2 linked regions of the Mytilus edulis genome follow. The protein of the gene in region 2 purifies or fractionates together with the protein of the main gene of each other region. This does not show direct contact. Links are inferred from orthologs where the notes say so. Each region holds a gene or a part of one and is shown on either strand. Other genes may lie near its edges. The genes, in order: F-BAR domain only protein 2-like and AP-2 complex subunit sigma.

Region 1 (15,979 bases), on a different chromosome or scaffold from region 2:
TGACTATGTGGTATCGGCTTTGCTCATTTTTGAAGGCTGTATTGTGACCTATAATTGATAATTTCTGTGTCATTTGGTCTCTTGTTGAGAGTTGTCTCATTGGCAATCATACCAGATCTTCTTCTTTTTTTTTTTTTTTATAGTAGTACAGGTATTCATAAGTTAAAAATACCTTTCTCTCAGAAAGTCTATGAAGTCTTTAGAAGTTAACCAGGTGCTCCGCAGGGCGCAGCTTTATACGACTGCAGAGGTCGAACCCTGAACAGTTGGGGCAAGTATGGACAAAACATTCAAGCGTGATACAGCTCTGAATTTGGATTGTGATCAAATTTTTGACATTACATAGGTTTTTTTTTTACACAAAACAAATGTCAAGATTTTACAAATCAATTAAAGATTTCTTCTTCAAACTTTTTAAATCTAAAATTAAATAGTTGATCATGACACAGCATAGGTTTCTGACACAGAACGAATGTGGTCTAATGAACTTAAAAGTTTTTTTTTGCCTTTGAGCAATTCATTATGCTGTTGAATATTAATCCTCTCAAAAAAATGTTTGAAGAAATTTTCTTTTTATTTATGAAATCTGAAATGAGAAAAATTTAACCCCCCCCCTTTTTTTCACATCCCCGTTTCCCTTTTCCAAAACTGATATCAATTCAAATTTCTAATGGAGTTTGCAACAATAACTACTCTTTTACATCATAAAATATTAAAATGTAAAATAAAGTGCTTGTTATCACTGAATGGTAAAGATTGGTTGGTAGTAAAAGTGAATATACATTGTTTATTGTATAAAACAATAAAAAAACTTCATCAGCAACATTTTATATTGGCAAATTTCCAATGAAGTTATTTACATAAAGTTATTGGCAAATAAAAATAGAAAATGACATCATAGTCATGTCTGGCAAATTTCCAACATACATTATCTAAAAACATTTTAGATAAGATAAGGAAAAAAAGCTTCATCAGCAACATTTTATATTGGCAAATTTCCAATGAAGTTATTTACATAAAGTTATTGGCAAATAAAAATAGAAAATGACATCATAGTCAGGGATCTCCATGGATGAAAATTGAACGATGGAGGAACTTTCACCATTACAAACCGTGTCTACATTGTACAGTGTAGCGCGATCGGAAGTATTTTATCCCTCCATACAAGGAATGGTGAAAATGCTAATTCATTGCTTATTTAAATTATATTTATTTGAATTTTCATTATAGAATTAGAAGTATCAATATTTTTATTTATTGCCGTTTTTAACCATTCAAATGCTAAGTCTTCATGGTCCCCCCTTAGTCGAGAATGACCAAAGGCTGTCATGACGGTCCCCATGTAGATTTCTTGTTTTTTTGGTAATTGTTATGGGGGTTAAAAATCATATGATGTGGAGCTTATTTTTCATGGACACTGTCAAATTCAGAACCCATTACCGGTATGGCTGATTTGCATCAACAACAAAACGATTCGTACGGGTTATGTAAAAGGTTAAAGAGATTTGTAAAGCAAACGTTGACAAATGAACAGGTTTTTAATGACTTTATCTGGCAAATTGATGCTGTGTAACATGTATCTTTCGAGTCTGAATAGAAACCGGAAACGCGGATGTATCAAATTGATTGTAATATACGAAATGAATTCGGAATTACGATACGATACTTCTTTACAGAAAATATTTAAAGTTTTTACTTTTAAACTTTTAAAGTAATTCTAAATTATTGTTACAGCAGTACTCGAGTTACTTGCGTCTTATTTTGTACTTCTTAAAAAAGGGGGATGCTGATTGCGTAAGTCAAAACAAAGCACGTGTTCGACTTGTTAAACTGTTTTCTTTGCAACTGGATTATTAATTTATTTATTTAATCTAAATTATCATAATCATTTGCTAAAACTTAGTTGATTATTTCGACAAATGAATCGTCTATCCTCAGATAGTATTCTCGTGTCTGGTTTGTTGATCTACCTGTACAAGCTCAGGTACAAGTGATAAGCGATCTTAATCCGTAGATTCCTCAGGCGTTAGAACTGTATTGGATTATAACATAAAAAGCCTAAGGGTTATGCAATTACATGCATTTGATTATAATTGATAAAAAAAATGGCGTCGGGCTACAAAAAACGATGAAGTTTTGAACGATGGCGGAAGACATTTAACGATGGCGCAAGACAATTTAACGATGGCGCGAGTCATTTGACGATGGCGCATGACATTTGAACGATGGCGGGGCGCCATCGTTAAATAGGCCATGGAGATCCCTGATAGTCATGTCTGGCAAATTTCCAATATATATTATCAACTACTATTCTATACAAAGAAAGATAACTCCAATTGAAAATTAATTGCTATTGCACAATATTGTGCAATTAGATATTTCTTGCTATTGTGCAATACTGTGCAATTGAAAATTTCTTGCTATTGCACAATACTTGATATGGAATCCTGATTTGGACCAACTTGAAAACTGGGCCCATAATCAAAAATCAAAGTACATATTTAGATAAAGCATATCAAATAAGCCCAAGAATTTAATTTTTGTTAAAATCAAACTTAGTTTAATTTTGGACCCTTTGGACCTTAATGTAGACCAATTTGAAAACTGGACCAAAAATTAAGAATCTACATACACAGTTAGATTTGGCATATCAAAGAACCCATTTATTCAATTTTTGATGAAATCAAACAAAGTTTAATTTTGGACCCCCATTTGGACCAACTTGAAAACTAGGCCAATAATTAAAAATCTAAGTACATTTTTAAATTCAGCATATCAAAGAACCCCAAGGATTCAATTTCTGTTAAAATCAAACTTAATTTTTTAATTTTTGATGAAATCACACAAAGTTCAATTTTGGACCCTTTGGGCCCCTTATTCATAAACTGTTAGGACCAAAACTCCCAAAATCAAACCCAACCTTCCTTTTATGGTCATAAACCTTGTGTTTAAATTTCATAGATTTCTATTTACTTATACTAAAGTTATGGTGCAAAAACCAAAAATAATGCTTATTTGGGCCCCTTTTTGGCCCCTAATTCATAAACTGTTGTGACCTCAACTCCAAAAATCAATCCCAACCTTCCTTTTGTGGTCATAAACCTTGTGCTAAAATTTCATTGATTTCTATTTACTTATACTAAAGTTATTGTGCGAAAACCAAGAATAATGCTTATTTGGGCCCTTTTTTTGGCCCTTAATTCCTAAACTGTTGGAACCAAAACCCCCAAAATCAATCCCAACCTTCCTTTTGTGGTCATAAACCTTGTGTCAAAATTTCATAGATTTCTATTAACTTAAACTAAAGTTATAGTGCGAAAACCAAGAAAATGCTTATTTGGGCCCTTTTTGGCCCCTAATTCCTAAAATGTTGGGACCAAAACTCCCAAAATCAATACCAACCTTCCTTTTGTGGTCATAAACCTTGTGTTAAAATTTCATAGATTTCCATTCACTTTTACTAAAGTTAGAGTGCGAAAACTAAAAGTATTCGGACGCCGGACGACGACGACGACGACGCCAACGTGATAGCAATATACGACGAAAAATTTTTCAAATTTTGCGGTCGTATAAAAATACCTTTCTCTCAGAAAGTCTATGAAGTCTTTAGAAGTTAAAAATACCTTTCTCTCAGAAAGTCTATGAAGTCTTTAGAAGTTAAAAATACCTTTCTCTCAGAAAGTCTATGAAGTCTTTAGAAGTTAAAAATACCTTTCTCTCAGAAAGTCTATGAAGTCTTTAGAAGCCGTCTGGCCATGTTTCATATTATGATACAGCACATAGAAGCCATTGTTCTTTTCTCCCTAAAAATAAAAAAAATATTGGTTATACTTGACCAAAATGATACAGCATGATACATACTTGCCTTCCCAACTATAATCACATATATATTTCATAATTTATATCTTTTTTTGCCATTTAGTCAACATTGTTTTTTTAAGTACATGTACATGTAGTTTTTTTTTAAAACATCAGGTGTTTTCTGACCTGTTTCAATGTAACTAATTGTTTAAGGATCTAAGGGACGATTTCAATTATTATAAGCAAATTTTCTTTATACAATTTTGGCAAAGAAAAACAAATACAAGAAAATTTCCAGATATCCTAGGAACAACACATGTACAGGAAAAGCGGATTTGTTTTGAGCAATTTTTATAAAACATTTCAAAGATTCCACATCAGCCATTGTCAGCTAAGGCAAATTTATATTTTCAGTCACATTTTGAAATTCCTAAAATATGCATATTTTAGAAATCTTCATTTCAATTGTTGAACCAATTTCCAGTCAATCAAAGCATGATAAATTGTTGTGTTAAGTAGATAAATGCGTTTGGTATAATAATAATAATAAATTCTTTATTTAACGAAGGTAACTCATTTAACATACAATTGTTAATCTCACACAAGGCCTTCACACATTTAAATGAATAATTCATATAGAACAATAATCAATAGATATGTACACAATTACAAATATATATATACACAAGCATGAAAACAGACTGTAGAACTAGCATGGCAAGAATGTCCTAAAAAAGTTTGACTACTCATTTTGTTTTATGATAAAGAGATTAACACATTTCATCTTAAAGCTTTCTATATGCAGTGTTCTAGGATTCCCATTACCCGTTACCCGGGGTAAGTGGATTAGGACAACGGGTAAGTCATTTTTTAGCCTTTGTCACCCGGTGGTAAGTCAATTTTCAAGTTCGGGGAAGCCGAAAAACTCTTGAAATTTCCCGGTCCTCTTCAATTTTCCCATATCTGCTTTTTATTTTTATTAAATCACGAGAAAAAACTTTGATAAAAGATCGAAGATTTTGTCGATGTCTATCGGCGCTTTTATTCAAGCACTCGTTTACTAGGTGTAATCAAGCGCAAAAGAGACCACATTCTTCTCCTATCATTCTAAAAGTCGGTCACGGTGTCGGTAAAATCGAAAAATCCGGATTGATAACTGGTGCTTAAATCGGGACATAAACGATTTTTTTTCTTGTCATCAGAGGAAAATAAACTTACAGTTGCATTTATTATAGCTCTTAATAAATGACATAGTAATAACTATAACATATTTGTCAAATTTAGTAAGAAATCGTTTTTTTTTAATTTTGTACAAAATTCAATCGTATCCGAATCCAGCTTTGTTCAGTAAATTACAATATTCAAAGTTTCATGAGTTTGCATAAGTTTGGATTTACTTCAAAAAGGCTAAACGATATAAATCAAGCATCACCCCCACCAAAAAAGCCCAAACTTGACAAAAAGCAGAGAGACAAACTGTATGATGTTGAAAAAAGGACCAGGGGGTATGCTTTGCCCCGTCCGCATTGGTTGGCGGATTTAACTTTTAGATGTGGGTAAGTAATTTTTTTATTGATCTTACCCGTGGTAAGTCAAGGTGCCAAAAAAATCCTAGAACACTGTATATGTCTTAAATCCTTTAAATCATTTGGGAAATTATTCCAAATGATTAGACCAGAATATTGAAAAGTCTTTTTGAAGTATTCAGACTTTGGCCTTGGTATATGAAGATGTCCAGATGTTGTTGACCTAAGAGAATAACTATATAAATCACTGCACGCAGTAAATTTAATTGTAAGATAATCTGGCGCTAGTCCATTCATACATTTAAACATTAAAGTGGCTTGAAAATATTTTATCCGAGTAAAAATGGTCATCCAATTAAGTTCTTTAAACATTGATATTGATGGATAATCAAAAGGCTTATTCAAAATTAATCTTGCTGTGCGCTTTTGTAGTTTATGAATCAGCTCAATGTTGCAATTTGCGGTAAAACCCCATATCCTGCAACAATAATCAATTATCGGTAATATATAACTATTATAAAAAAGGATAAGACCTTTGCGAGGTAAGTATCGTTTTAATCTTTTTAGCAGGTATAATCTGCTTGAAAATATTTCACATACTTTATCTATGTGAATTGACCATGATAGATTTTTATCAATATGGATACCAAGAAGTTTTTCCACTTCTACATTGTCAAATGCAGTTTGATTTTGTGATAATACACACAAGACATCGTTACAATTCTCAAGTTTTCTCTCAGATTCCATAAGCATACATTTGGACTTCTTGTTATTTATTATCATATTGTTTTTATCACATCATTCAATTAGGTTTTCAAAGTCTTTATTTAAATAAGAGTTTAAGTTTGAAATAGATTTGGACGATAAATGCAAAGTTGTGTCATCGGCATATAATTCAGACTCTGTGTGTTCTAATTCAAACGGGAGATCATTTATATAGATTAAGAATAATAAAGGTCCTAATATGGAACCTTGTGGGACCCCAAATGTTACATTATTGTATCCTGATTCAGTTGTTCCAATTTTAACCTTTTGCAATCTATTTGAGAGATAGGATGAAAACCATTTAACAGAGTGATCATCACATTTATATAAATTCAGTTTCGATAATGAGATGTTATGATTTACAGTGTCAAATGCTTTTTTAAAATCTAGAAATAAAACAGCAGTAAAATTGCCTTTGTCAAATTCTTCTAACCATTTGTCAATTATTTTGATAAGTGCTGTGTGGCATGAATGTTTTTCTCTAAATCCAGATTGTTGTCATTTATAAATTGAGTTTATTCAACGCCTAGCAATTAATATAAGTGATGTCAAAATACATCAGTGTCAGGAAGCAACATTAAAATATATAAAATTGTGCTAAATTCCAGACAAGGTGGAAGTTTTCTGAGTGCATCACTGCATGGTCATATGGACATGCAAGACGTTAATATTGATATATATATAAGTCAATGGATTGGTCTTAAGATAAGAATCTTCATTGGAAGTAAAGGGACAGAATTTGTAGAATAGTAGATTCAGAGTCCAGAGTTACATAATCAATCAACTTGAGTCTTTGTAAACTATGACCCTGAAAAACTCAACATTGGTCTTTACACCTTATCGCCAATTTCTAGACATCACAAAAGTTCCTGTAGAATTTCTACATCATAACAAATGCCTGATGCCACTAAGGAAAAGTGATTGTTTGACATCATAAGATCAAGTGTTGCAGATTTACTTATAGTAATAAGGTTTATTGATTGTATCCTGGTGAATAAATGGAAAGGGAAGTAACTAAAGGTAAAGTCTAAAGAGCTTCAAGGTTATAAATTGTTTCCTTGTCACAGAAATGATACTGATATTATATCAAATATTCAAATGAATGAAATAGTACTTGGGATGCAGAATATGAATATGCATTTGAGGCACAGTGGTAAAATGCAAATATGAACACAAGATAATATAAAACATGATCTAGACAACACCCCCTTTTCAAGTGTCAATTGCATGAAATGGTGTCGCTTTTTCGCAGCTTTTTTCAAGTAAATGTCATCTCATAGTCCGTCTCTGAAAACCTTATTTATTTAAGTACCCAAAAATGATCTGAGAAAGTTGTCATCCTAAATTTTGAAACTGCATCTGGTTTGTTCCATGAAAATGGCGATTATTTTGATTGTTTTGCGTTTGCGCACATCCGTTTTCTTACTCAGATTAGCGCTTTAACCAACGATCTTTTACCTTGCGGGTCTAAGCTTATATGTCGTCAGCTGTCAGTTAAAAATTTCCGGGAAAGTACAAAAAAAACCAAAAAAGGTATAAATGCACATGGCAATTTCTTCTTTACAGCTCAGAAATATTTCGGATTTATTTAAAAAGAGATAAGGCTTCGTACAAAATTGAAGTTATAGATTTTGGTATCCCCATGTGGCCACAATTTGATAACTTTGACAATTTTACACTCACTAATTTACAGTCTTTGAAAGTTTTTGAACACATGCATGAAGTGATGCACAATGAGGGTGGTAAAGGCACAATGAGGGTGGTAAAGGGTAATTTTCGGGCAACGTGTTTTGCCATTTTTATTTCACGTGCAACCGTGAAATAGGTTCGTTATTTGACGTGTTTCGTGAAATCGGTAAAAATCTCAACGTGCTATCTGGCAATTTTATTTCGCAGTCTTCTGTGCAGATACCACCCCTTTACGCCCCTCCACAATCTATGGTCAGATCATATGTTTTCGTACCTCACATGTTTTCGTACTATGCATGCTTTTTCAATGGAAATCGTGACGTCATAATGCATTCCTAATATAATTGAAATGGCAAATTGTATAGTAGATTTAGATTTATACACATCCTTGTTTAGATAAAGAACTTACCCCGAATCATATGCAGTGGAACACTTGACATTTTATGGTTAAGTTCGTCTTTTATATCAGGGATTATCATTTTGGTGTTTTTTGAAAAATTTCATTGCCTAAATCAGTCCATCTTTTTAATTGTCTGAAAGAAAGTGTACATTTTATCGTCGTGCACCAACTACCCATTAAGACCCTCTTATTCTGTTATTGACAATATTAACGTCATTTGACAAGAATTTTTACCTTTATTCCTCTTACAGGTACCCCCATTAAAACCCTCTCATTGGCAATATTTAATTGCACAAAGTCATGTAGGTACAAGACGATTAAAAAATAAATATATGTTGACTAGTGACTGAATTCACTTAAAAGATCATCAACTTGCTTCTTCCAAAAAAAATACTGTTCATATAGGACAAGAATCCCATATGGCACCCAAACAGTAAACTAAACTAAAGTAACATAATAATGTATTACATGTATTACAGTTAATTTCTGTGGGGGTGCCAGATAGTTGAGGGTAAAAAAAAAATCATAAATGGTTGGTTGAACTCCCTTGTACTGTACACTATGTGGTAAATGTAGAACTCTGAGCATTCATATTCATAAAAAAAAACACCATCTTGTAGAAGACAACCGATTTATTCACACTGGGTGCAGGGGTGGATCCAGCTATTTCAAAAAGGGAGTATTTTTGCCCCTGGACCCCCCTTCTGGATCTTCTACTGTGGTTGTATCATACAGACATTACAAAGTTCACATACAATAGAAAACACATGGCATACACTTAAACAATTCACACCATTTCAGCTATCCTGTTCATCGCAAACAGTCTTATCCAAACCCTATCTCTCAACATCAAGATATGGTGAACAAAGTTAATACTGTATTGGGTAATCACAGACATGTTAATAAAGTCAGAGTCACAACAACTGTTTGAAAGATCAATATTTTTGTCATTAAAATGAACCAAAATTAAAGATTTTAGGCCAAGAATTTAAAAAGTTCTGGTTAAAAAGTTGAAATAAGTTCAAAATGGTCAAAGTCAGATTGACAGCTAGGTTGTATTTATAAAATATACTTGTAATTACTAAATACTTATAGTTTAGTGATTTACTAATAGTATATTTTTTTCCCTTCATAAATTTAAGTTGACTGGAAGAATTGCATCAACCACCTCTACAAATAACTGTTATTTATCAAGATTATGGAAAAACTATGTTATTTTATATTTATTGACAGTATTTATTCCTGTATGTAAACAATAGTTTGCAGAAGATATGAAGAGAGTGGCGGATCCAGGAATTTTCTTAAGTGGGGGCCCACTGACTGCCTAAGAGGGGGCCTGCTCCAGTTACGCTTCAGTGATTCCCTATATAAGCAACCAATTTTTTTCCCAAAAAGGGAGACCCGGGCCCCCCCTAAATCCGCCTCTGAAGAGTACTCTAAATAATCTTGTAAATTAATTTTGATTTATAACCCTTGTAACAACTCCATATTCCATCCATCATACATGTAAACACCATTTATTATTATAATGGCATATGTAACTCCTTTTCCTGTAATTTTCATGTTCTGACAGCACATGTAGAATTTTTCCTGCAAGGTGCAATCACTAAATATATATTGTCCTTTCTATCAATAGGAAGTCACAGAAATGATAATATATAATTAGTGATTGCACCTTGCAGGATAAAAATCTACATACATGTTGTCAGAACATGAAAATTACAACAGCATTCCAGTCTGCACCAAACTGTTTTTAGGGTTTGCCTGACCGAAAAAGAAATTTGACGTTTTTCTTCTATATACATGATATATTCAACTAAAAATTTTGAAAATTTCTGTCTGACCGAATGATCTTTTGTCGAATAGACAGAGTTTGGGATACACGGGCATTCATTGACAGTAAACTACATATCAATCTCTTTATGTCATTCGCATCGAATTTGAACTATTCCTAATTATCTGTACTAGGTTTTTCTCCAAGTCCTATTGTAGTATTATCCTCAGACGCAATATAACATGCATTTCACTTTAAAAAAAAATTACAATTTCATCATATAAGAAAAACTCTATATAGTGATATTATAATCCCATCTACTGGCCTAGAATGCATGTTTCTTTTGATTTCTGTTATATAGATTTTATTTTTAATGTGAGACTTAAGGTTTGTTTGTGTGGTGCATTAAGAAAGTCAGTATATTACTTCCATTTCTGACTTTAATAGTGATCTTTTATAACTAATGAGAAAATTTAGTGTAATTAGCAGGGGCGGATGCAGGAATTTTCGAAAGGGGGGTGCTAACCCAGGGCAAAGGGGGGGTGCAGGGGGGGTGCAAAACATATGTCCCGATACAAATGCATTGATCGGCAAAAATAAAGGGGGGGTGCGCACCCCCGGAACCCCCCCCTGGATCCGCCACTGATTATATATAGTAAACAACTTTTTGTTTTAAACAAAGAGATCCCAACCACATGAATGATGTATGCATTGAATAATATTAATAAAATATGTACAAAAAAAAACATGTATTTGGGACTAAACAACTTTTTTTGTAAAACCAGTCAAGTAAAATATTGATTTTTTTGTACATCAGACTGTATTGAATACTTTTAAATATCAACAAAAATATCACATTTCCTGATTTAATGAAAATTGATAATATTAATTACATTAGTTGATACACTTATTTATTTAATCTGATATCTGATGTTGTGGACTCTAATGTATTTCCTGTTTTTTTAAGTTATGGATTGTAATCTCTAGTCACTGCAGTCATATTTTAAGGTCTGGACTTCTACACCATTTATTGACACTTGTAAATTTCAAATCAATAAAGCGTCTTTGTAAAAAAATAATAAATATGACTGTGTGTATAAAGTATATTGCAAGATACTCCAAAAATGTCAGTTATATTAATGTCTGAAATTAAGATGTTCAAACTGGAGAAGAGAATAATTATTCATGACATATAGTAAGTCTGATATTTGACTATTTGTCTTCGTCATTCATGACCAGATCGGTCAAGTATTAAATTAAGCAAAAATTACCCTTTCTTGACCCTTCCTACAGACAGTAGATGCATCATACTGTCAGAACTATTGATTTGTGTAAACAGCAAAGTCTTACCTCTTCACTAAATGATGTTAGTGAGCAAAAGCCTGAAATACTGAAAAAAAACCCAGATAGAGTAAAAAAGTGAGTGGAATATAAACTAAATGTTTTTTTAATGAGGAATACTGTTACGTGAAAAGGATAAACAGCATCAACAACATACATGTATTTATTCATAGTAAGAAGTGAGTACTTAGTAGAGACATCCGGACTTGCAACCTGATTTACACTTTTCATAAGTATCTGATGTAAAATGCATTTGTAATCATGGTAATAGGTGATTGACCATGATTCAAATTGGATTATCTCCCATTTATTTACGGGAACAAAAATAAGAAATAACTTAACATTGTGAAAGCATTTTATGTGAGGTAGGTTAGACACTTAAATAAGAAATAAGTTATGTTGTAAGTTGGGACATCTCTAGTAATAGAAACTATAATAAGAACAGGATGTGTATATTTAGAGAGATAGATTGATACATATAATTGCGGATATTACAATGAGTAGGAAAAACGTTAATATGAACAGGACGCTGACTTTTCTTAGATAAATATTTTGGATGACAATTTTAAAACAGCAATTGAATTTTTTTTTGTCTGTTTACCACACTGTCATGACTGTCCGGAAATTATTTTTCATTTTAATATAGAATAAAATATTGTTGTGTCATAACTTTGCATTTATTTTTATGTAATATGATCTTTAGACTTAAATTATACAATCCTAACTATAAATACTTATAACATTAGACCAAGACTGTACTTATGTGTTTAAAATATGCATATTATTGTCTTGAAAGTGTTCCATTACATGTATTTAGATTAAAATAAAGTAATTACATGTACTTAATATTTTAAAACAATCAAAATAACCTTGTAATAATGGGAACTTGCGTTTATTTTTATTCAGCATTTTACAAGATTTATAAGTACTGTATTTTTCAAACTACATGTAGTCTTGAAAGATAGATAAAATAAATGATATTAATTGTGAAACAATGCAGTTTGAGCTACTTTAATCCTAATTTAGATATTCTGACCTAAACTTTATAAAATAAAAGGACAGCTACTTAGGTAAAGTTTATGATACTTATAACTTCAATTATGACTAATTTTAAGAAAATCCCTTTGATCTACATGCACTACTAGTTAATTTTCCATCAGGCTATTTCAGATGTGTTTTCTTAGATGTACATGTAGAAAGAGAATGTGAAGACATCATGAACAATATGTCATTGACACCGTCACTAACATTAACTTATTGACAATGTCTAGGAAAATAGCAGATTATTTATGTTTTTGAAACTTGGTACATTACAATGTATATCTGATCCTTATCTTGTAGAAAAAAAACCATCAGTAATCTATTTATATAATGCATTTCCAATACATATATGATAATTGAAAAATTACAAATGACAATGGCCAAATGACAATACATCTATTTGTTTTGCTGTCATCTGACCCTTCTGTGTATTTTTTTTTTTGCATATACTTTTACTTTACATGAGATGTCAGCCTTGAACTAGAAAAAAATACATATCCCGTACATTGTATATTGATCTGTTTTATCATACTTATTGTATTAATTATCTTAAGGAAGATATCTTATTAATAACAAGATAATGTTATATTACAGGTTAAGTGACATAGTTGGATGGTTACCCAAGTTTTTGAACTTTGTGATGTGACACAATGATAGCATACAGCTGATAAAGTTTTCTGATGATACCATGCCAAATATTTACTATAGACTTATTGATATATTCATAAAGCCTTCAGATCCTGTATGGATTATAATTGAAAATATTTAAATCGGGTAAGGAATATCAATATTGTTTTTAAATTTAATACTTACTATTACATTTATATATGTAATGCAAAAAGTGCATATTTGTCACGCTAAGCACATATGTATGATTAATTTGACGGATAGCTTTAACTTTGAAGTGTTTATTTTTGTGGAAGGTGTTGTTTTCTCTATTTTCATAAAAAATTTTAAAGCTGTAAACGATTGCATTATTAAAACGTTTTAAAGTGTAATATAAATTCAGGAGAGATTGATTATTTAATGGATTAATGCATATGTATTTTAAAGTGTCAAGTTTGTTCAGGAGTTTACTAGGTAAGACCACAAGCTAAGCAGTTGTCCTACAATTAGTTGTAACAGACTGATAACAACCTTGGCATCATCATTATCTGTTTGGCCACATTCATGTTATTCTTAATCTCAGCTGTACAGACTACACTGATAGATTATGGGGAACCTGATAGGAGGGTGCCCCCCCTTTAATTACATGATAATGCAATGTATATCATACCATTTCAAGTATTGCAAGATCTTTTTCCCATGATTTCTTCTTATATAGAAAAAAAACATTTACAATCGTAATTTTGAAAATTTTATGCATGCAAAATATTTTGTACAATATCATTATTCTTTAATTCATTGAATTCTTGTAATTTTATAATGTGATTGAAATGTGCCTTGCCTTTTATCCAGTGAAGGTATGCAGTAGTACAAATTACATAGACCAAAACAGATCCATGTGCTATGAGTGAACATGTGTCTGCCTATAATTAGATTGTCAATCATATGTTATTACTAACTTTCATAAGGTCGTGCGCCATTCGCACATTTTGACCAGATCTTATTTCTTGTACCTGTATTTATTAAACAAATATTGTCATCTTAATTGATTCCAAATTATATGAATGTTACACTGTGGATACATTATAATCTAGTGGGATACCATTTTTCAATGATTTCGTGGGTACAGGATTATTTCAATGTTCCACAAAACTTTTCCTTAGGCATGTATGCAGACTTAGGCATAACCCTGAAATCAAATATCAACAAAAATATTATTCCCCACAATCCACATTAATTGCATTGGTACCCACGAAAATAAAAGAATGTTATTTGCGTTTTCTTTTTGTTGTTTAAAAACCTATAATTTTAAATTTAACAGTTCAATAAAATTTTGTACGGTCAATATATATTTATAAACAGAGACCTATAATACAAGTATAAATGGATAATACTATGTATTATATGTATGATAAAGATAAATAATCAATGTACTATAGTCTGTGTTTTGATTAAACATCTGTTTGATATTCAAATAAGAAAATCACATTGTACTTTTTATTTGTTTTCATATAATCATAATGTGTTAGCGCTTTTACATACTCCCACTGAAGGAAAAGATTTAATTCAATTTAAAAAGCTGAAGACTGCAAGTGGATATATTAAAATACATAATTTAAGATTTTAAAACTGATGACAAAGTTTATATACATTGAATATTTTATGAATATTTTACTGCATAGTGCTATTCAGTGATAGGATTTGTGATGAATTAATTCAAGTGACCTTTAGTCATTAAATGAAGTAATATCAATCCTACAAGACACTTCAATTTTCAAAAGGTAGAGAATTTTTGTTTTTTTATTGCCTTCATTAAGTCAATACTGCATGCACATCAACAATTTCTCAGGAATAAATTATGCTACACTTCATATAATTATACCCCTGCTTTGAAAAAAAAGGGGGGTATACTGTTTTACCTCTGTCTGTCCTTCCGTCAGTCCGTCCGTCCCATGAATATTTTTCGTCACATTTTTCTCAGGAACTACACTACCAGGATTTCTGAAATTTGGTTTCAGGCTTGACATAAGTCAGCTATACCGTGTGATGCGTTTTCAGATTCATCACTCAACAACTTCCTGTTTACCGAACACTTGTTTGATTTTACACATGATAGCCAAGTTGAAAATTTTTCGTCACATTTTTCTCAAGAACAACAATACAAGGATTCTGAGATTGGTTTAAGGGTTAATATAAGTCAGCTATACTTTGTGATGCGTTTTCAGATTCATCACTCGACAACTTCCTGTTTACCGAACACTTGCATATTTTTACACAATTAATATTATCCACTTGCGGCGGGGGTATCATCAGTGAGCAGTAGCTCGCAGTTTCACTTGTTTGATGAGCCTTGGACAGACTAACCATACCCAGTAAGATGTTGGTCATATATTTGATATATTTTTTGTTTAGTGATTTTTGAAAATTTATCTTACCTCATGATTGGTATAATTGTTTATTACTGAGTATATATATCTACATATGTAACTTTCTATGTTGTGATGTAACAGTATTATTATTTCAGGTTAGGGTGAAGGTTGGCACCTATTAAAATGTTTAAACCCGCTGCATTTGTTTGCACCTGTCCTAAGTCAGGAACCTGTTGTTCAGTTGTTGTCATTTGTTGTCTTGATTCATAAGTGTTTCTTGGTCTTGTTTTTTGTGGAGCCTGCAACTTTTGTTGCAAAAGTAAGGCACAGCAATCTTACATTTCGTCGTCATCACTCCGAAAATGTACTTCAGCAAAAGTAGGCGAGACATTAGGTTCCACAGAACCCTTACAATTTTTTTTTATGTATGAGACCTTGGTTTTCCTGTTTTCTTGTTTTTTCACCAGTCATTTTGGGGACTTTTATAGTATGCTGTTTGCTGTGAGCCAAACCTACGTGTTGAAGGCCGTACTTTGACCTATAAAGGTTTACTTTTATAGTATGCTGTTTGCTGTGAGCCAAGCCTACGTGTTGAAGGCCGTACTCTGACCTATAATGGTTTACTTTTACATGTATGCTGTTTGCTGTGAGCCAAGCCTACGTGTTG
Region 2 (16,143 bases):
TGTTCTATTTTTAGCCATGGCGGCCATCTTGGTTGGCTGGCTGGGTCACCGCACACATTTTTTTAAGTAGATGGCCCTATGATGATTGTAGCCAAGTTTGGTAAAATTTGGCCCTGTAGTTTCAGAGGAGAAGATTTGTAAAAGACTACAAAAATTTAGGAAAAATTGGTAAAAAATTACTATAAAGGGCAATAACTCCTTAAGAGCTCAAATGATTTTGGTCATTTGACTTATTTGTAGATCTAACTTTGCTGATAATTATTGTTGTTTACAGTTTATCTCTATCTATAATAGTATTCAGATAACCAAAAACAACAAAGCAACCCAACAACCAGACGCCAATTCATCTGAAATTTTCAGGGCAGATAACTTTTGACTTGACAAACAATTCAACCACTTGTCAGATTTGCTCTAAATGCTTTGGTTTCAGAGTTATAAGCCAAAATCTACATTTTACCCCTGTGTTCTATTTTAAGCCATGGCAGCCATCTTGATTGGTTTGCTGGGTCATCTAACATATTTTTTAAACTAGATATCCTAATAATGATTGTGGCAAAGTTTGGTTAAATTTGACCCAGTAGTTTCAGAGAAGAAGATTTTTGTAAAAGATAACTAAAATTTACGAAAAATTGGTAAAACATTACTATAAAGGGCAATAACTCCTTCAGAGGTCAAATAACCACTTTGGTCGATTGACTTATTTGTAGATCTTACTTTGCTGAACAATATTGCTGATTACAGTTTATCTATAATAGTATTCAAGATAATAACCAATAAAAACAACAAAATTTCTTTAAAATTACCAATTCAGGGGCAGCAACCCAACAACCTGTTGTCCGATTCAACATTTTACCCCTATGTTCTATTTCTAGCCATGGCGGCCATTTTTGGTGGGTGGCAGGGTCACCAGACACATTTTTTAAACAAGATACCCTAGTGATGATTGTGACTAAGTTTGGTTAAATTTGGCCCAGTAGTTTCAGAGGAGAAGATGTTTGTTAAAAAAAAAAAAAGTTAACGACGACGGACACCAAGTGAATAGAAAAGCTCACCTGGCCATTTGGGCCAGGTGAGCTAAAAATGTGGAAAACTAATTTGACTGACCAAGACTGACAGACAGACGGACCGAGTGCAAACCTAAAGTCCTTTTCGTATTGTTGGTAGGGGACTTATAACACAATGAAGCCAATCTCATTTTTAGACTGTAACAGTGGATATGTCCTAAATCAACCTGATCAGAATATGTTAACAATATCAAATAAATGCATAAAACAAACGATATATATATGTATACATACTTTATTTCCAGAATGTACATTGCACATTGCCAATTATATGGTATTATTTATAATGCTGCCGTTATGACAATAAACCATTGCAGCAAATACCAGTAACAAAAAAATGGTATTTCACCTTTGTTATCATAAATATAAGAACAGTTTTGTACCTCTAATTTATATTTGATATATCAATACTCATTAAAATAAAGAATAAATGAGTATTTAACATTGATAGTGTTTCCTGTATATAGAGATTTATGAGGGGGGATAGGACCATTATTGGGACTCTGGGGTCAGGTGTTTTTAAACTTATTCCGGGATTGACTCTTTAGGAATCAGAGGAATACTTTTTTCGAAATTTTGGGATGACAGGATTAAAATTTATTTAAATTCGGGACCTCTGGATTTCATGTTTTTGAAGCCCAGGATTTTGGGATCAGGACCCTTCCTACACCTCCTCATCTATGCAACTGATCCAGAGGCCTCTTCAGTTTCATTAGGGTCTTACCAAAATGCTATTATAATAATTTTTCTTAGCTGCAATTAGATTTTGTATATCTAAATTTCCTTCCCTTTCTGATAGGTATATATATATAAGTACGTCTGAGTCAGTGACAACTCTACACGATATCTCAGTAGCATGGGTTCAAATCCCGGCGAGGGATGATAAAAAAATTTGCAAAAGCAAATTAACCGATCTAACATTGTTGGGTTGATGTTTAGACGAGTTGTATATATATATATATATATGTAGTTCTCCAGTAACCATGAAACACGAAAACATGCTGGAGGATGCAATAATATCATGTATTTACATTAACAATAACTAGGTGAATTTGGAATGTATCATTCATATGAACAATATCTATTAACGTTCTCATTATTTTCATGTCTCAACAAAACAACATTTTGATAATATAATGATAACTTTTATATAATACAACGAAATAAAAAAAGTTCTACACTTTCCACTCTAATCACTTCTAGCTTTTTTCTGTTTTTTTTAGGCAAAAATCACCTTGCAATCAGATACTGTCCTCAGAAACATTACTTGTTGTTTTACATATGGATTATGACATCTTTATCTAAATAGCCAATTATTGTAACATTTCTGTTAAAAATAACCAACAAAGTTCATAGTAATAAAATCATACACAATAAATGACATCTGTCTACAACACTTTGGTCTATTAAGTCCTATAACATAGTATTTACTCTAATGATGATAACATAAGAAGTTGTTTTAAAACTTTTGTTTGACTTGTCTCTCGAATTTCTCCTGCTAAAAACATCTCATCCACTACACTGTAAACCTAAAAATAAAACAAAATAAATATAACTGAAGATCGAAGTTTCCCATTAAATAAACTGTTGACACAAAGATATGTCTTGTCTGTCAGCAGAAAATTCAGGAATAATCTTATAGATAGCTACAATCTTATTAAATCAAAGCTGCAGGACCATGACCTAGGACAGGGCCTCAATATGGTTGACAAACTGGGATTTTAAAACATTTAAACTGCAGCATTTGTTTGCACCTGTCCTAAGTCAGGAACCTGTTGTTCAGTGGTTGTCGTTTGTTGATATGGTTCATAAGTTTTTCTCCTTTCTTGCTTTTTGTTGTTGGTTTTTTTTTCTTCTTTTTTTTCTATAAAGATATGATAGATTAGAACATTTGTTTTCCTGATTTCACTGTACAGACCCTTATAAATTGTATGAAAACCATAGAAACCAATTACTTAAAATGTTGAGGCTCAACAAAGAGGACACATAATATAGAAAATAAATAGTTAAAACTTCTTAATGGAAATTCTGTAATTGCATGACTTGTTCTGTCAGTTACAACATCATGAATTTTATAAGATTGATAGATTGATTGTTGGTCTTTAATATCACTTACAGCACACTTGGCTAAGTCATGGTGACAAGCTTTATTGGTTGAGGAAGCCGGGACCCAAGAGAAAACCACCAACTTCAAAAGGAATACTGTCATTCATATATCTATTAAGATCCTTTTATTCAACTTGTATAATTATGAACACAAAATAAAGGTTTTATGTTGAGACACAATATAAATACTTTACCTTATAAAAGTTGAATACAAGATCTAATTCACAGACATTATGGAAATATTCATTAAGCACTTCTACAAAATTGTGTATTGCCTCTAAGTATGCAAGATTGTTGTCGTTTACATCAACACAGATACAGAAATATAAACCAGCATATCTTCTGTACACAATCTTAAAATTCCTAAACTGCAAAAAAAATTACATATTATTATACACAGGTATATCTATTACAAATAACCCTTTAAAATACAAAAAAAAAACAATCTTTGGATTGCTTGAACATAAACTACAGGTAAGCATTCATTATTTTGTACATTCATTTTGGCCTTTAGTTTTCTTCTTTAATTTTTTTTACATTTGTCATTTCAGGGTCTTTTATGGCTGACTTCCCAGTATGGGCAATCAATGTTGAATAGTCATGATAGTTGTTAATTTCTGTGTCATTTAGTAACTTGTGGTGATGTTTTTCATGTATTTCAACTGGTAATAAGTGCTAAGTTTCAAGTTGATGTTTCAGCATTTTTAAGATACACCACTTGAAACTTACTGTGTCCATTGTTTTTCAAGAATTATATTGCATCACACTGATCTTTTAGTACAAGAGACCCTTCAAAAATAATTGTTTGTTTATTCATATGATGGGTATTGTACATGTGCTAGTATCACACAGCATACAATGTACCTCTACAAAATTAGTGTGTTTAGCATCACGGACAGTAACAACAGCATGCACTTCTTCAATTAGTTTCTGTTTTTCATCATCATCAAAGTGCATATACCACTTAGCCAGACGCGTTTTGCCAGCCCGGTTCTGTATCAGGATAAAACGAATCTAGAAAAAATGTATTGTAAATTTACAGTTAATACCATAAAGTTAAATAGCAGCAAAAGTTTAATATAATAGCTTCATTAAATTACTTGAGCAGACTGCTGGACATTGGTCAACATCCTGGTGTTATTTTTCACAAGACCAGTAAAGATAAAAGTATCTTATGAACCTTTGAAGTGGAAGTCAGATGTCATAGATTCCCTGTGCCTTTGTGAAATTGCCTCTTGAATAATTCAGAATACACATAACTCTAAAATACAGCTTCAAAATATATAGGTACATACATGTACATGTAACATGTCCTTTTAATATGTTAAATTTCAGCAATCGTCAAAATGGTGTGCATAATTGATGATTTTTTCAAGTGGTGGACATAACTTGAAAGTGGTCTATCCAACCAGTAAATGTGCGACATGAATTTGGTGTAACAGACCCAAGGCTCAATTAGCGCACATGTAGGGTCTGAATGTGTTTGTAAGTGAACAGACAGATACCAATTTAAGGTAGCACAATACAAAGATTTTTTCACTCCCAATCAGACAACTTTAAACTGATGTAATTCATTTCATCCTTCTTTATATTTTATAAATGAAGTACCAAAAGAAAGAAGAAAGATCAATCTTTCAAATTGTGATAATTTCATTATGACATAACTATTACATAATTAATTATTATGTAATTAGTCGCTATATTTTGATGTCCACACTTGAATGAATTTAGCGTCTTTGTTTTTCATAGCATCCCAAAATATTTTATAGATTCTTGTACAACACAGCTTGACCTCCAAAACTGTGTCTCAGATTTCCAAAATCATCAATAGAACAAATTTTATACTCAATTGAACTAAGTGGTCTCTAATGAATTGATGTTGCAAACTTCATTGAAGATTTATGAGAGAATGAAATACAATAGGAAAAATCTGAGACACAGTTTTGGAGGTCAAACTGTGTTGTGCAAGAATCTATAATTTTTTTTAGGATGCTATGAAGATATGTCTTAATGAAATTATCACAATTTGAAAGAATAATCCTTCTTCTTTCTTTTGGTACCTCATTTATAACATTTAAAGAAAGATGAGTGGAATTACATCAGTTTAAAGATGTCTGATTGGGGATGAAAAATCTTTGTATTGTGCTACCTTTTATGCACTAACATAACTTACTTAACCCTTTTGCTGCCAGATGTTTTTCAGGGTTGCATTCATATGCCAGAAAATATGACCGCTCGACAATGTGACATGCCAAACAATGATGTCATTTGATATATGATGTCATGCTGTAATGACCGTTACATTTGAGAGTCATTGTAGAAACATATTACACTTTTTAAGTTTCAGTCTTTTATTTTGAAAGAGGTACAGTAATGATGAGAAGCTAGCATAAGTTAAAACATGGACATATGTGTCCCTCCAGCACAGTCGGTGTGGACACATGTGTCCCCCCGGCAGCAAGAGGGTTAAAACTGTGTGCGCCTGTCAGACAGAAGTAGCCCGGGCAACAGAAGTTAGAACTTTATTCTTTCAGACTTTCTGCAGAAAGTAACGACTCCCGTTTTTTTTAAGAAGAAGCAGAGGAAAAGCATCAATAGGCCAAGAACTCCCACAAAATATTAAATTCCACCACTCAGAAATTGTATTGTAAGTTATACATTCAAATTTTTTTAGCATTGCTGTCAAAAGTGACAGTGTCAACAACACTCAGATCAAAATGTGGATCTCAACTCCGAATACACCTAGCACTATTGCAAGTTATTATCAACTGAGAAAGTGTTACGGCCAAATAATGTGTGTTCAATCATGAATAAATGCCTTAAAATATAATAAAAAGAGGCTGTGTTACCATTTCTGAATAATTTCGTATACCGGAAATGATTAACCTCCCACATTCAACGTCAGGAGAACGTTTTGCACCAAGGAGTTTTACGTTGCTTCAAAGCGTTCAGATGATCTTTATAAAGGAGGACCAGCACATGGAGCTGTTTACAAACATGCATGTAGCTTAGAAAAAATACCCAAGTCTGACATGACAGACCTAATAGATGACGTCAGGAGGAAAGTTACTCTACGGGAGCATGCTGTAGAAAATGTATGTTTTTTCAGCATTTATATGGAACTAGTATACTATAGTAAAGGTTGTAAGCTTCTGGTTAATTTTGAGTCTTATAATTTCTGTATAAAAAGAGGAAAAGATACATGTCCTGATCCTGTTCCTAAAGCTTATAATATATGTTGAAACAATAGACCACTTTCGAGTTCATCCGTCACTGGATAAAACTCGTCAATTATACGTGTCTTTATGAGGTCATTTACCAGATATAATAATCTGATAGAGGGGTCGCCTGTATCCCTGCACTATTCACGTTCATCTAGTCCGAGATTACTCTGAGGTCCAACGGCTGTTTTGTCAGACAAGCTGGGGCCGTGGGACGTCAGAGCTCGTCCCATATCAAAAAGTGGATATTTGCCCACCCAAAATAGATGCGCTGCTTCGTCGCTTCTGGTGCCGACTGACGGCCTTGGAATTAAATAAATCAGGCATCAATCTGTTCATTTTTCATTTATCTTTTCATTTATGTAAGTTTCACCTACCTGCCAACTTTTATTTTTCCATATTTTAACAGTTTTCACAGAGACCCATCGATTTTTCCATTTGCCTTTCATTTTCAAAGATTATCACGTGACTACGAGAAAACAGTGATGATTTATGCAAATGACCATAATTTGTTGAATAAATGGTGTATTTGGAATTAAAATTCGCTATATACATTGTACACAAGTCATAATCACACCTGAACTTTGTCATTATACAGGGAATAACACTATGAAATTCAATCATCGGCCAAAAAATATATAACTACAAGTAGTCTCTGGTTGTAGTAAGAAAACCAGGACAGGTTCAAACAAAGATTTTGAAAGCAGAGAAAACTGTGTGCACCTTTATAATCAGCATGACTTTATCAAATGAGTTAATGACCATATGAATACTCAAAATAAATTCAGTCACAGACCTGATAGGTTGTGGGTGTGTAATTTATGTTAAGATACTTATTCTAAATATGTAATAAAAACATAACTCATGAATTATATTTGTAGACACATAGCTCTGACTTTCCTGGAAATTATGAAGATTATGATGACTCTTGGAGTCAGAAAAAATTTGAAAAGGTAAGATTTGTATAGGTTACTGTCCGGCCTTCAACAATAATTGAAACCCACACCTCATAGTCAGCTATAAAAAGCCTCAAAATGACTAATGTAATGCAATTCCAAAGAGACAACTTACTGCCTGATTTATTTACAAAATAATAATGAAATACAAATATGATATTTAGCAAAAAACATCAACCACTTAATTACAGTTTGGGACAGGCACATACAATGTGGCAGTTAAAGTTGAACTAGTTTTAAGGCGCCAACCCACCACTAAACTTGGACAGTGGAATAACAGTACACCGTAAAATTAAAAACAAGCAACAAATATAAGTTGCAAAGTATTTAAAAAAAAAAAGAAGTAAATTATAGTAAAGCAAAGACATTAAACTAATGAAACAATGCATTTTACATGTACAGTCAAACCTGATTAAACCGGACCCTGAATAAACCGGCTTCCTGTACATTCCGGCCGAAAATGAAAGTCCCATTTTTTTTCCTTCAAAGTCTTTGTTAAAATACCCTTTGTAAACCGGACCCTGTGTATTCCGAATTCCGGTCTAATTATGAAGTCCCAATACTCTTAATTACATTAATTATTACCTGTCAAAACCGGTTTGTCTAATTAATTTCACTGATCGATATGCAATCAAAACATAATTGTTTACTTTATACAATATGACTTTTCAGGATAATTAATCAATTAGTCAGGTGTTAAACTGTGAAGTGAACTTTCAATCGTACAGTAGTGAGCTGTATTATTTATTAAAACATTATAAACGTGTCAATTAAACGACAAGACACACCGAATATATCTCGGATTTAACTTACGTTTTGTAACGTTAACTTGGATAAACAAATTTAAATCGCAGCATAAGAAATTTACAACGTGATGTCGAAACCCTGGGTTCCCTGCTGTGAACCCCTAAACAAATGACCTTGATAATGAAAACCACCCAGATGACAACAATCAATGGGTATAGTAAACTGTACGACAACGTTTCAATAGTGATGAGATTACGTTTGATAATATTCTGGCTTTTTGATCGGCCATTCCAACATTTCAAATAAATGATCATGGAAGTAAATCGAAACTCTCGTCTCACAATCCAAACAACGCGAGCATTAGGATGCAAATGTAAACAATGGAAAACGAAGTGAAAATATTTTAATTGATCAGATATTCTTAACTATCAAAGAGAACTTTTATATGCAAACTATCGGACGTCACAAGTCATTAACTTCCGGTCGATACGGAAACCTGAATAAACCGGCTCACTGCCCAAACCGGCCCTTTTTCATAGTCCCGTAGCCGGCCGGTTTATACAGGTTTTACTGTAGTTTGTTAGAACAAGGTTATAGTTGTAAACCAATTATACTTTTTTAGAAGTTCAGAATTGATATGGTAAAGATGAGCCATGATGAACTTGAATTTGATATGGTAGGAGTAGATGCTTCTATAGCCAATGCATTTAGAAGGATTCTTCTTTCAGAAGTAAGTAAAAAATAGCAGGTTACAAACTCACACTAGTAATGCTTCTATAGCCAATGCATTTAGAAGGATTCTTCTTTCAGAAGTAAGTAAAATATAGCAAGTTACACCCAAACTCACACTTGTGTAGACACGTTAGGAGTTATGCTTCTACAGCCAATGTATTTAGAAGGATTCTTCTTTCAGAAGTAAGTAAAAAATAGCAGGTTAAACCCTAAATCTCACTAGTGATGCCTCTTTAGCCAATGCATTTAGAAGGATTCTTCTTTCAGAAGTAAGTAATAAATAGCAGGTTAAACCCCAAATCTCACTAGTGATGCCTCTTTAGCCAAAGCATTTAGAATTAATCAAACAAAGCATGTTTCAATTAAATTGACTTTATTTAAAATCAGTAAATAAACAACATAAACACAAGCTCTGGTGGTCTAGTTGACTAAGTATATTAAATCACACAAAAATTCAAACAAGTGTTTTCTCATATTCTTGCTATTAGTCAGATCTTTTAAGTGATACATGTTAAAAGATGTTTGTAATGGATTGACACTACTATTATTTATTATTTAAGGTACCCACAATGGCCATAGAAAAAGTGTTTATTTACAATAATACCTCTATAATACAAGATGAAGTATTAGCACACAGACTGGGATTGATACCTATTAAAGCTGATCCAAGACTGTTTGAATATCGACAGGAAGGTATTCATAAGAATTAAGGATTTCATACAGATGTACTTTAAGACTGATTTCATTTTTTTCAACACAGATTTTTAAGATCAACCATCTTGTAAATCATAAATTACACAGAGTTGAAATGAAATGATACTGGTATTTTCAACAATAAAATAAAGACAGACACCAGCAAAGCATTAACACTTTTAAAATAGAAGCTATGGGAATGAAATAAAAAAGAACATAATTTGTTTTACTTTTGCTGAAAAAATATTAATCAAAATTAGCACAGATAAGGTCTTTTTTATGTTTATATATTTTGTACAGAAACAACAAATTATTATTTGACGATTCTTGGTGTAAAACATTCCCATCCTTTATAATTGTGATATGTTTGATTTTATGGTTGTGCCTTAAAATCAGACCGGCAGATATGGATATGGGGTTTTTCAATCAATAGGTAGTAAATAAAAGTATTCAGGACTTATAGCCAAATAAAGCCCTCAACACATTAGCAGTAACACCTAGTTACATTTATCTCTGAAATAATAATTTACCTTTTTAGGTGATACAGAGGGAACCGCTGGTGATACTTTAGAATTTCAGTTGAAGGTCAAATGTACAAAGTGTTTGAAGGTTGCAGACACAACAGATCCTGATGATCTGTATAAAGACCACAAAGGTATATTGATTTCTGGATTTTAATTATTTCACAAAGTTCGGACAAGAATTGGAAATAATTGTTTATTGAACCAAGAAAAATAGTCCAAATTCATACTTAGGTTTTTCACATCAGAAATCCATGTCCTTTAAAAATTCTGGTAAATCCCCCAAAAACTTTGAGTCACTTGATATCTCATAACAATTGATCCACACTTATTTGAAGTAACTAGATTTTTTTGGCACAATTATACCATGCATTTAATGATGTAACAAAGAAAATACAGAATGAAACAGGAAAGGATGTATTAAAAGAGTAAAAACATACATAGTAAGTTAAAGAAATAAAAATTCCAACAATTCATCTTCAGTGTCATCATGGTCATATATTTTTCTTTTCAAAATAAATAAGCAATACTGGTTTTTGGAAAATGACGCAGTCATTGTTCCATAACTGCCGACCTGAACTTCATTACATTGCTCTGCCTACCGCGCTTGGTTTCGTATTTCCTATTTTCCAAACAAACTGGAATCTGCTTGTGTTATCAATATGCATCATTGTGTAGTATTAAACCAGCCAGGACCCAGTTTACACTGGTTTTTGCTTGTATTCCACTACACTCGAACAAAGTGTTGTAGTTTGACGGGAACCAGTTTTAGAATTTGTAAACTACAAACCGTAATCGGTTATTGTTCATTCCGTTTTGGTGTTTCATACCGACTTATATGGTTTGAATAAGCTTAAGACCATTCAAACATTAATGTGATAGGTATATTAAAGATTGTTTTACAAAAGGATTGAACTGTTTTACTTTCAAAGTCGTACTATAGGGATATCTGTCATATACGGATTTCCACTCTCACCGGTTAATTTCTTCTTTTACACGTGCTTTGGAAACTTCCTGTTTAATCGCAAGTTTTAAAATTGTTTTTGAGTGAATTAAACTTATTTTAACAATCATGAAGCGTTCCAGAATCATTTTAAAGCAGTTTCTTCTTCTCTTTGATGATGGAAAATAGGTTTTCTCAAGAAAATACCGCAAACGATCGCAGAGGAATTGAAACGTACAAGTCAAGTCGGCACCTGGTTAAATTGGCATCTAGTCAAATCGGCACCTATTCGACGTCAATTCGGCATCCAATAATATTTGATATAATATTTTCTATTCAATTAATTAATTACTGTTACCAAGTACATAGTGAATATGTTGTTGTGTATTTTGGTAAACCACGAAACGAAAGTGAATATGTAGTGTATAAAGGTAAACAACGAAGCCCTTACCAAAGCTGTTGTTTTAACAATTAGACAATTTGTGTAATTGTAAAAACAAGTCAATTATTAAAATAAAATGGAAAACTATGAGTCCCTTTCAATAAATCAAACTTTCATGCCAAATAATTAGCAAATTTAAGGTGTTTGTTTTTCAGTAAAGTTTAAACAGCATTAAACCAACAATCCTGTAAAATGCTCAACTGGTTAAAATAATGCAGAAAAATACACAATATCTCATGTATTAGTCCAAATAATTATGACGACTGGCAAGGCTATTTTATTATTTTTCTGGGACGCCTTCCTACGACGTTCAGGTGCCAATTTAACTAGGTGCCAGTTTGACTAGAATTCTTTGACAAATGTTTGAAACTATCTGAGTTTCATTAGACCTTTGATAGCAGTAACAAAAAGATTATTTACTTAATATTTTGTGGGAGAAGGGGGTTCAGACTGTGTGGCATCAGGTCTGTTTGTGCCCAATACATTTTCGCACCCTACACATTCGCACATTCACACTCTACTCATTCACGCTCAATTTTAATTCAAATTCTAGTTGAATAATTGGAAATTTATGGTTGTTGTTTTAAATTGCTTTGGTGTAAATACTGAATGTATTTATAGCTTGGTATGAGTAAAACATTGAAGATTTTAAAGGAAAAAACACAAAAGATAATTGTTTTTAACAGCTTGGTCCCATTGATCTGAAACAACGAAACAATAAAACATAGAAACCAAAATATAGCAATCCACTAATATAACCAAAACATGATAAAATTTATTCAACACGCAGAAACAAACATAGTCAGAATCTCACTTCATTTTGAAACAAGTCAATGAAACAAGTTATAGCAATACACTAACCAAAACATGATTAAGAGTTATTCAACACAAAATAAAACGTTGACAAAATACCACTTTATTTAGAAAGGATTATTATTATTTTTAGCAATACCTTATCCAAAACATAATTAAGATTTATTCAACACAAAAAAAAAATTGCTGTCTCACTTTATTTTGAGACAATGACAACAATTATACTTATAAGAAAACACTTGCTTACATAGTTATTAAACACAAAACCAATTAAGATTGGGTGCGAACATTTAGGGTGTGAAAGTGAAAGGGGTGAAAATGAGTGGGCGCAAACGTGAATGGAAGCGAACGGACTCAGATTCAGACTATGTACCAGTGAGAAATATACAAGCCTTTCTACGGTATTTATTTGTACAATTCAGCTAGTCTTGACCTATTCATTTGTCTTAAAAAACCAGCCAGTTGTCACCTTCACTTCACACACACACACATATACGAATATCAATTATATGCTTACGATACATGTTGCATTGTTAAACTAATTACGGTATGTGAAAATCAAGACTTGCATAAAAACTATCCCAATATTAGAGACAGTGGCGTCATTTTTCTTCAGAGCTTTCAGCTCTTTGATTATAACTTACAAATTGAAAGTGCAAAAGCAGGTCTAGTAACAGCTGTAGTCTGTTGGTCTGTTCGTTTGAAAAACCTTTGGTAGAAGACTTTTGTCAAATTATCCTAAATTTCTATGAAAGGGAATTATTTTATATTTGTTCTGCAGATTTATACTAGTAAACCATTTCTACATACAGACATTTCCTATTCGTAGGTAGTTTAAAAGTTTACAGCACTCATTGTCTTGATATTTAAATATCTTTAAGATCTTTATTTCCCTGCAACTCTCTGAATTTACCAATGTGATTGCCTGAAAATTAAACCATGTCTGAAAAGGTTATTAATATTTACAAAAACAATATTTCGTACAGACTGTTTGGAGAGAATGTTGAAATTTACCAAACTATTATCCTCATAACAATAGAGAAAAATGTTATTCCCACTATATAATTCACGGAGAAAACATATCCGGAGTCCAATAATGTTGTTTTTTTTTTTTTTATATTAAGCCTCAGATCGTAAAATTTATAGATTAGTTGCAAGTGAAGAAATTCCGTTTCTCAACAATAGAATTTTTATAGAATGAGAAATATTATATCCACTAGCTACATGTACATAAATTATTGTATTATGACTGGTTATTTTCCAAAAATCTTATAATTGCTGTTTATGATATTCCAGTGACAACAAAACATCTGAAGTGGGTTCCAATAGGAAATCAAGCTGAAATTGTAAGTTTTTTCATTACTTAAAATCCTCTTTAAGGGGGTTCGCGGGTCTAAATCATTTATATAGGATTTCTCTATATTTTTCTATAAATGAACTTTATCTTATAGTTAATAGAAAAATACAATAAAAAAGTGGGGTCACCGTTCATTTGCGCTCACAATCTGCCTTCGAAAGAAGCATGGGCAAATGAACGGTGACCCCATTTTCTTATTTTATTTTTCTATTAACTATAAGATAAAGTTCATTTATAGAAAAATATAGAGAAATCCTATATAAATGATTTAGACCCACGAACCACCTTAAGTATAAGATTTTAAGTGCTTGTAAAAATTCAGCACAGTACTTCAAGTAAACTTATCTTGGTAAAAAGTTACTCAGTTGGAAGTTGTGTATTTGGCCACATGTTGTATTTTAAGAATGAGTATACTCTGGTTTATTATATTTAATATTGAAAGTATTATATTTTTGAATAAAAAAACATGATTTAAACATCTTTTTGATAAATTATTTAAAAAATTGAGTTATCTCCCCTTGAATAGCTGAGTTGAAAAAATAATTGTATTCTGGGCTATTCCAGAAAAAAATGTATGGGGGGGGGGGTGTTGGAAGGCACATTGTATTAATAATACATGGGTGATGGGTATCGGAGCAACTTTTCACACTATAATGCACTATAATTCTCAATTACAATTGTCTGGGTGGCAGGTGCTGACAAAAACTGCCTTCCAACCCAACCCCCACCCATACATTTTTTTCTGGAATAGCCCTCATTCACAGTGTTCTATCTATCATAATTAGGAATTTTTTAATAATTAGCTTAAGCTACATTTTTATCATGCTTTTTTTACAAATAAAATAAAATGTATGGGTCAGAGAATATTTTCAAGATGCCGGTTGTACAAAATTGATTGGTACATTGAAAACCATTTTGGGTGACAGAAAAGGGGGGAAAATCTTCTCTAAAAATGAAAATAAAAATTGAGGCAACAGGACTATTTTCTTGCTTAGTTTTAAAACATTGCTGTAAGGATTCATCAGGTAATAGTGTAGCAGCTTCTGACAGCAACTTCTTAGCTAAACCAAATAAAACTTGAATCAACTGACTACTGTGTCTATCTTAACATATTAATGGTACTACCAAATTCATTGGAAAACACAGTTATTTTACTTATTATGATTGTGCTAATATCATGTATATATGCTTGTAGAGAAATGCAACTATTTGTAATATATAGATATCAATGCATTCATTCTTTGTTTTAGTTCAAAGAAGGAGAAATCAGGCCAGTCCATGATGACATTTTAATAGCAAAGTTAAGACCAGGGCAGGTAAGCATTATACCTATAGCTATGAAGCATAGATTTTGGAACCAACTTCCTCTAAAATCAAATGAGTTTCAAATTTATTGAATTTTCTGAACTAAACGTAGAAGTGAAACATGGATATATATATATCTGCAATGAAGTACAGAAATAAAAAAATTCACAACCACAACCCACAAATATCCTCTTTTTCATAGCCAAGTTTTATTTGAAACTATCAAAGAAAAACTTTGTTACCATCCAGAAAAACAATTTTTCCAAAAGTTTCTATTTTAAAAAACAGTGGCCTTGAAGTTTTCTTACAATTCAATATGAGTGAAAGAAGATGTAGATCCTATAGGTCAATGAGATAGGAACCTGATGACAAAAATAATCGAAAGACAGTTTATTTTATTTTATTGGCAAAATGTACAGCTAACCTTACCAAAGACTTCTGGCTTACTTACCAAAGTCTTAAAGCCTATTTGTCTATTCAAATACAATTGAGAATGGAAACTGGTAATGTGTGAAAGAGACAACAACCCGACCAAAGAGCAGGCAAACACAGCAAGGAAATCCTGGGAGGCCGGCTTCAGCTAGCCCCTAAACAAGAATGGGTACTAACTCAACAAAAATGAATGTCCCACTAAACTCTGAAACATATAAATGCACCAAAATTTAAAAAAAAAAACAGACTTACCAAGGCCAGATGCTCCAGGGACAGGCACAAAACTGCTGCAGGGTTAAAAATGTTTGTGAGATCTCAACTAAGCTAAACTAAACAGAGATTTTCAGCCTACCTGATCCTAGACTTTTGATTTACCTAACCAAAGACTTTCAGGCTACTTTTGGGTATTGAATTGAGACTTCAGTTTACATGACTGAAAACTTTTAGCTTTTCTAATAAAATGATTTCAGCCTTTCTGAAAAAAACCTGTTAGGGACTGTTAGGTTTGTATCACATCAAAGACTTTCTGATTATCTGATCGAAAACTTTGAGCAAACATGACCAACTCCTTTAAATTTCGTTAAGGTTCTTAATGCCAACTAGTAATTTTTATTCTTTCACTTTAGGAGTTAGACATCAGAATGCATTGTGTCAAAGGTATAGGCAAAGATCATGCAAAGTTCTCACCAGTTGGTAAGTTAGTTTTAGAAAGAATACATTTTATCAGATGACTTTAAATGTCTCTTTTCTCATCGGCTAAAAGCACAGAGTCTTCTTTACACAGTCATAATATTCACTGCTGCAAAAATCA

The links.
Region 1: the proteins of AP-2 complex subunit sigma (region 2) and F-BAR domain only protein 2-like purify together in Homo sapiens (co-immunoprecipitation; 3 studies listed by BioGRID and IntAct, counting the BioPlex papers as one, with this or other methods). This does not show direct contact. The link is inferred for Mytilus edulis from reciprocal best matches to the Homo sapiens genes AP2S1 and FCHO2.

The regions. Positions count from the first base shown.
Region 1 is NC_092344.1:9,083,050-9,099,028, reverse strand, and holds the start of F-BAR domain only protein 2-like, read right to left. Parts: upstream 7,534-15,979; 5' UTR 7,432-7,533; coding exon 7,405-7,431; intron 3,804-7,404; coding exon 3,712-3,803; intron 1-3,711. UniProt on the Homo sapiens protein: Functions in an early step of clathrin-mediated endocytosis. Has both a membrane binding/bending activity and the ability to recruit proteins essential to the formation of functional clathrin-coated pits.
Region 2 is NC_092346.1:91,456,913-91,473,055, reverse strand, and holds AP-2 complex subunit sigma, read right to left. Parts: upstream 6,130-16,143; 5' UTR 6,023-6,129; coding exon 6,020-6,022; intron 4,185-6,019; coding exon 4,035-4,184; intron 3,539-4,034; coding exon 3,365-3,538; intron 2,594-3,364; coding exon 2,492-2,593; 3' UTR 1,284-2,491; downstream 1-1,283. Other genes in the region: DNA-directed RNA polymerases I and III subunit RPAC1-like, read left to right, coding at 6,203-6,265, 7,273-7,344, 8,717-8,824, 9,387-9,519, 10,058-10,174, 13,535-13,584, 14,846-14,911, 15,959-16,025. UniProt on the Homo sapiens protein: Component of the adaptor protein complex 2 (AP-2). Adaptor protein complexes function in protein transport via transport vesicles in different membrane traffic pathways.